Linked DNA regions of Drosophila melanogaster. The protein of the gene in region 1 interacts with the protein of each later gene in a pairwise test. Each region holds a gene or a part of one and is shown on either strand. Other genes may lie near its edges.

Evidence for each region.
Region 2: the proteins of CG4375 (region 1) and CG9609 interact in a two-hybrid assay, tested with the Drosophila melanogaster proteins (one large-scale study listed by BioGRID).

The regions. Positions count from the first base shown.
Region 1 is NT_033779.5:1,025,600-1,029,190, reverse strand, and holds CG4375 (uncharacterized protein), read left to right. Parts: upstream 1-2,293; 5' UTR 2,294-2,405; coding exon 2,406-2,915; 3' UTR 2,916-3,086; downstream 3,087-3,591.
Region 2 is NC_004354.4:16,784,933-16,788,855, forward strand, and holds CG9609 (uncharacterized protein), read right to left. Parts: upstream 2,077-3,923; 5' UTR 1,819-2,076; coding exon 1,633-1,818; intron 1,573-1,632; coding exon 547-1,572; 3' UTR 183-546; downstream 1-182. Other genes in the region: mRpL22 (mitochondrial ribosomal protein L22), read left to right, coding at 1-31; Sap30 (SIN3-associated polypeptide 30), read left to right, coding at 3,018-3,410, 3,635-3,763.

The DNA.
Region 1 (3,591 bases):
GGCAACTGGCACATATCGCCACTCCAACTGGCCAACAAGAGGTCCTGCCGAGTTAATTAAACTTTCCGAGCCGAAGGCTTTCAATGGTCAGATGGAGATGTAATTAAGAGATAAAATGAAACAATGGGCACACACACACATCATCCGAGAATGCCTGTTATGGCCATGCCCCTTCTCAAGATGCCGCCCACCTGGACTTCAGTCTGGCCCACAAACCAAGGGGTCGGAGGTCAGACTATCTCCGCCCCGTGCATTCCGCCCAGAGACTAGCAATCGAGCGGAAAAAAGATATTGAATGGCCAATGAACCGTGGCAGACACTCGTCCGCCTCCCCCACTCCCGATTGGCAGGAAAAATCGCAGATAATCAAGAGCAGCCTGGGAAAAGTCCAGCTGGGAAATTGACAAAGGCGGCTAATGAATAATAACCGCAATCATCGTTTATATGCAGGCATGTAAGAGGAGTCCTATGCTCAGGCAACAGAAGATAGCAATAAAATTTGAGATCGATGCGACTACGATGCTGCTCAGTAGATCATTTGAAGTGTCCTTATTTAAATTCAGATAGGATGCGAATCCGAATGCATTGTATCCTTAAAGATCAGCAAAGAATTAAAAGCCCAAAAGCTGACTTGCCAATTGATCATAACTTGGTTTCATGTGACACAAAATATTTAATGGCCAGTTATGAGTGAGATGTGTGCAGGTTTTTGAGGCTGCTCTCGAGCATTTATCACCAAATTTAATAGGTTTATTAGCCCGTGTCGCTGGTCCCTTTGAGATATATATCCGTTCGTAAACCTGACATAATGCGAATTGGAATCGCTGTCTGGCGGGCACTTTGAGAGGCATTCGAGTTGCCAGCGAGAAAATGTCATAAAAATTAACGTGCCATCGTAAATATCTGGCCATATATGTATATGTTCGCATACGGGGGCAATGTTATATTTAAGTGCAAATATGCGTAAAATTGTTCAAAGGACAGCCCATGCACAGCAGTTACATTTATACATTTTGGCACATTCGAAAAATGGAGCCAAACAAAACGAGAAAATGGCGCGGCAACTGGTTGCTACTCCCTTGTTCCAGATCCCAGCACATATACACATACTCGCATGGTAGGGAAATGGGAAATGGAAAATGGCCTAGGCGCTGACCCCACCCCATTCCCTCCCTCCCACATCCCACCAAATATCCCCATCGAGTTGGCCGCAAGGCAAATCCCTGCAATTACTTTGTTGGCACTTTGTTTTGACTTGCCTTTTGAAGTTCCCATTTTTGGGGCAAGCTCGTATTTCTTTTTTTTTTTTGCCTTTTCGAAAGCTCGCCCTTGGCAGCGGACTATTAGTGTATTTTAATGGCAACTAGAGAGCGAGGGAAAACTACGGAAAACCCTCGTGTGCTGCGTAATGTATGTAAATGTATTTATTTGCCACAAAGTGGGCGAAGCAGAGAAACCTTTGGCAAACGCAAATAAATGTTAATATAATGTTAATATTGTTTACTTCTCCTTCGCCTTCGCCTTGGAGGTGTAACAAAGAAGTGCCCCTTCCCAAGGGCAGGGAAATGGGAAAATGGGAAGTCGAGGAAGTGCTTCTCCGCCTGCGGCAAGTGTTAGGATAAAAAACATGCGTTCCTCGATGGGCCGACAAAAACATGCAAAAATTCATTGAGCCAAAAGCCAGGGAACAAACCAACAGCTGCTCACGATTGCCAGTCTGTTCTGGATGGGATGGGGAAGGCGTTTGGTGTGCGTGGTTATCCCACCCAGAATTCAGGGAATCTGGGAATCAGGGAACAGGACATGTGTAGGCGTGCGGAAATTTAATAAGAACTGGATTTTATGCGCCACGCATACGCAAATAAGCGTTTTGCCCCCCGTCCAAAGGATAATGTGTATTTATGTGTTCCTATTGCGATGTTTGGCCTGCTGTAATCACGCTCCATTGGGCGTCTCTAATTTGGCATTAACACAACCGCTACCCGCCCCCTGGAGCACAAGGCGCCCTTCGACCTCCGGGCCACCCACTCGAGTGACCTTTTGAACTAATGATTTGATTTATCTCCCGGAGGCCGCGCAATTAAATTGCCCCACCTGCGTGGCACACTTTGTGGCGCCACTGTAATGGATTTAGGCGGTGGGCCACACAAATTAGGGTCAAAACTCAAATATTTCTTCATTAGATGGTTTGCTGGAATGGGAAACGCTAGATTTTCTAACATTTAATCAAAGCAGGCAGGTCCTACATACGTTAAAACTTAAATAAACATCAAATCTCAGTACTTTCCTTCTCCTCGTGCGATACGCAGCTAGTTTTTGAGAATTAACAAAAATTCTCAGTGCAAACAAAATTTGAAAAAAAAGTGATAAAACGCGACATTTCTTTGAAGCTGTAGAATTCAGAAATGTCCAGCAAGAAGCGCATAGATTTAAAACCCGCGTCCTTCGAAGACTTGGCCAATCAGGTGTTCGAAAAGTCGAAACAGATGAGTATGTCAATGAAGGAGCAGTGCAAGTTGGTCCAGGAGTATTTGAAAGCTAGGCTCGATGGGAGTGATGGAAGCGATGCAGAATATAATAGTGATTCCTATTCAGATTTTGAATCCGAGTCGGATTCCGATTCCGATTCCGATTTCGAGGAGGATTCCCTTACTGATTCCGATGAGCAAACAGAGGAGAGCAGTGATGAGTCCGAATCGGAACACAGTGAAGTCGAGGAGCGTACCAAACCATCAGATACTCACAAGACTACCAACGGAGGTCTCTGCGAAAAACCAATCTCCAAGGTCGAGCCTGAACAATCTCGGCTCGTGGCCTTTGTGGCTCCTCTCAAGTCCCCTGCCCCCCGCATCCACCGTCGACTGACTATGGCTGGTGGCGTTATAGCTCCTCATAGTCGCAGTAGTGCCTTCTAAATCAAGGAATCATTGTGTAGAATCATTGGTCAAGCTAGGAGCTCGAGGTTTCTCCAATCGATTTTATTGTTTACACATAGTTTGTATTTAAATCATTTTGTAGTACTTTGTAATTAAAAATCATATCGCGACTCATTTTGAAATAAACGTACCACGTTCAGTAGCTACCGTAATGCAATTTCTCCATTTCAACTTAAAAATTGGAAAAAGTAGGTCATATTTAATTTGACATTTTCGGGACAACTTTAATTGGTCGCTTGGGGCTGTAAATCGGAAACTTTTGGGGCGTCAAATATTTGACCTAAGTGTGCTTTCACTTCAACGATAAATTGGGCGATTTTGTCAGCCAAATGTTTTGGGGAAAGTTTGCGGAATAATTTGCAGTTGTTTTTTAGACTATCCTTGACTATCCTCGTTGAACTTTCGGCGGCCATAATTTATGCAAAACATCTAATGAATTTTTCATGCCCAACAGCAGCACACAAACAGCCGCAGTGGCAGGGCAACAACTCTGCGGAAATTAATGAAATTCATAAGCGAGTTCCATTCTCCAGTTTTCCCGGTGCCATCAGCCCAGCCGCTTGCTCCTTTCTTCGATTTCGCCCTGCCCATTAATGAGCGCAAATTAAAAGCTGCCTAAACATTAATGAGAACCAAAGAGCCGAGAAATACTAAG
Region 2 (3,923 bases), on another chromosome or scaffold:
GCGAAGCCGGAAGATCATCAACTCGCTGTAGCCACCTGAATTGGCACTCGTATGCAATCGATCCGCACTCCTGCAGTCCTCCATCGCCATCGCGTCCACGCGCATTAAGCATTTTTTTTGGTTTTAGAAGATTGTTTAATAAAATAGAAACAGACAAAAGAACTATGTCAGAGGTTCATATTGTTCTTATTTTTACTTAGAGGAGTTTATTTTATTTAGTTTTGCGCGTATATACACAATGGATATTATTGGTTTTCTCTCTGGATGCCCGAGAGTTTCGGAACTCTAGTTGAAGTCAGGGAATGTTTGCAACTGTAAGCTTAAAGTAAATAAACTAATTCGCTCCAGGCGAATACTACTAATAATAGCTTACTAATTTATGCAAATTAATGCAATTTCGGATGTTTCTGAACGCAAATCCTAAGTATTTACTGATAAATTAGTTGTTTCTCTTTTAGAAGTTGTGGTTTAAATTAAAGTAGTCATTCAATTGTTAGCCTCTTGACCAGACCTTCTCACTCCCGTCCCTTTGAATGGCCTTTTGCTCTACTCCTGCTCCTTTTCCTCTTCATCCTGCAGGGTCTGTGCCAGCAGCTCCTCGACGGGGTCATCCTTCAGCGACTGGGTGATCTTTTCGAGGACCAAAGGCTGTCGCTCGCGCACCGCCTCATCATCTTCCTTGTCCAATTGCAGGCAGGCCAGTTTGGATAGCCTCGAATGTTTGCTGCGTCCAGCATCGCGTCGTCGCTTGCGGGATGTGGACTTAGTTTTGCCCCCTTCTCCAGTCTTACTCTTGTCCTTCTTCTTGGCTTTCAATTCCTTTTTCGTCGCACCATCTTTGTGATCCCTGAGCAGATGTCTCGCCAGATTCTGCGCACTGCTGAAACAGCGGCCGCAGTCCAAGGCCTGGCACTCGAAACGCCTGCCCGAGTGGGCGGTGAGCATGTGCTGGCGTAGATTCCTGAGGTACGAGTAACTCTTGCCGCATCCCTCCTCGTTGCAGGTGAAGGAGGTGGCGCACTCATCCGTCTGCGCCGCCTCCTTGTGCTTCACCTCGAGGTGACGCTTCAGTTCGCTCGGCTTGTCGAAGGCACTATCGCAGCGGTCGCACTTATGGCGATTCTTGCCGTGCAACGAGTCGCGACAATGCTTCGTATACAACGTCCATTTGTCGAACTGCAGCGGGCAGCCGGGACACTCGTACAGCTTGCAGCTGGGCTCGTGACTCTGGCACTGCCACTGCTGGTAGAAGCCGCGCGAGCACTTCGAGCAGCTGTACGGATACTCCAGCGTGTGCTCCCTGATCTCGTGGCGCTTCAGCTTGAGCTTTTGCGAGAATTTGGCACTGCACTGGCTGCACGGATAGACCTTTGGGCTCTCGTGGGTTTCGCGCATGTGGCGGGTCATGTTGCTAACCGAGATGAACATCTTGCTGCACTCCTCCAGCGCGCACTTCACCGTCTTCTTGGCCGCCGACTCCGGACGCTCGTGGGTGCTGCGCAGATGCCTCTTTAAGTGCGTCACAATCGAGTACGTCTTGTCGCAACCCTCGTACGAGCAGGCGTGCTTCTTCTGCAAAGTGGTGGCGGCGTTACTACTGGCTTACACTTAACATACTCTAACTATACTCACAATCCCTGTGTGATGATACTCATGGCGATCCAATTGGTCCAGCCGCTTGAATGTGGCCTCGCATTTGGGCATGCTGCACGCGTACTTGGCCGAGCCGATGCTGTTGCGGCGTCCCTGGCGCTGCTTGAACTCCTCCAGAGCGGTCTCCATATCGCTGTCGCTGGCAATTTGCGTTCCAGGCGGCATTTTTGAGGGTTTTTATCTCCGAAATATTGCAATCTCTTTTTTTTTTGTGTTTTAGGTTACCGCGACATCCGCAAATGTCGTGGAATTATTTGGCCACACTCGTGTACGTGGAAATAGCCAAGGACTTAAGGTTGAAGAGATTGATTTTATTTCAATTTGGTGTAGCAAATCTATAACTTATAGGTTTCTTTTAATTTGGTGTAGAAAATCGATGATGTCCCTGGTAAGCGTTTATGATTTCGTTTTTGGAGAGATGGTAGATTTTTTGGTATTTTTCCAGGGCTGGAAATTGCTGCCTAGCAGTGTTGTACTGCAACAACTGAATAAGATGTACGATACGTTATCGAAAACGTTACATTGGTCACATTATTATTCATTTATTCAAAATATAATTGTCACATACGTTATAGCTAAGATTTTTTTTAATGTGCCTGGGAAAAGTTTGCAGTAACCCCGTTGTTTATTTGCAGAAAATTCTGCGTATTCCTTTTCCCAGTCTTTTTGAATGATTCTGTTTAATTCTCCAACTCACTACGGTGAAAATTCCTTGCGTCGATGCATTTAACAAATATATGCTTGTTAGTCCCCCGTCTCAGAAACTACAATCAAGAATTGGTCTGAAGACGAGTATAATAATATTCTATATAGACAAGCAGTCAGATACGCCTGAGAAAAAGGAAATTCAAATTTCATTGCACTAACGTGAGCTAGTGATGACAAAAACGGTAATTGGCTCAACTATCGTACCGGTGTGCGGTACCTATCGGAATTGGAATCAATGCTGGAAAAGGTAACTATATTTTGGTACACGGTATTTTTAAATTTAAGTACTGAAATTAACTAATATTTATTTAATTAATATTTTGTGCGATTATTAATACCAATTAAAAAATATTGATCGATAATCTGGAAAAAAATGCACTTGATATTTAAGATATTTGAGAAACTGCAAACAGTTTCAAATTGTCCGCTCTTGCCAGCTGCGGAGGAATTTCCCCATTTCCCAGTTTGGTCACATCGCGCTGTCGAAAGAAAATTTTTTTCTTGCAAAGAGAAACAAAGCAAAGCAATAGTCGAAAGTGAGAAAGACGAAAGAGGAGACAAAGGAGCGAAACGGAGAAAATCAGAGAAGCAGCAAGCAGAGCAGGAAGGGGGATTGGATAGGAACTCGAAAGCAATCGGCCAGGATCGGGAACAGGATGAACAACGGATTCAGCACCGGCGAGGAGGACAGTCGCGGGCACACGGACCAAACGTGCTGCCTAATCGACGACATGGAGCGGTGTCGCAACCAGGCTGGCTACGCCAGCTACTCCAAGCGCATCCAGAAGACGGTGGCCCAAAAGCGGCTCAAGCTCAGCAGCGATCCGGCCGCGCAGCACATTTACATCTGTGACCACCACAAGGAGCGCATCCAGTCGGTGCGCACCAAGCGTCGGCGCAAGGACAGCGAGGACGACAGCAACGAGACGGACACGGACCTGCACGAGTTCCCCGATCTCTACCAGCTGGGCGTGAGCACGCTGCGACGCTACAAGCGCCACTTCAAGGTCCAAACGAGGCAGGGCATGAAGCGGGCGCAGCTGGCGGATGTAAGTTTGACCTAGTTAACGAATTGAGCAGGCTATGTCCACTTTCTGTTGCCGGATTTCAGTGGGGTAACACGCTGGTCTAATGTGCTCCGTGATGCTCCATAGTTGGCCCTCTTGTAGTAGCCTCCACTCTAAAGAAAAGGCAGAAAAATGTGCCATGCCCTTTATAAGGTTTTCTAAACCCTGTTTTAATCAAGTTGCAAACCTCTACTCTTCTCCCGCAGACAATTATGAAACACTTCAAGACAATACCCATCAAGGAGAAGGAGATCATCACATTCTTCGTGTACATGGTGAAGATGGGCTCGAATAAGCTGGACCAGAAGAACGGCCTTGGCAACGACACCACCTGAAGGCGCGTCGGCGGGCGGAGGGAGGAGGAGGACGCCGACGACGTCTACTCCTTTTAACGCTGGCCAACTGCCGATCAAAAGAAATTAACAACCAAACTTCTCACATTGTTGCTGCATTTGCTGGACGTCGGCATTGTTGACCAGAATAGGGATGAACGAG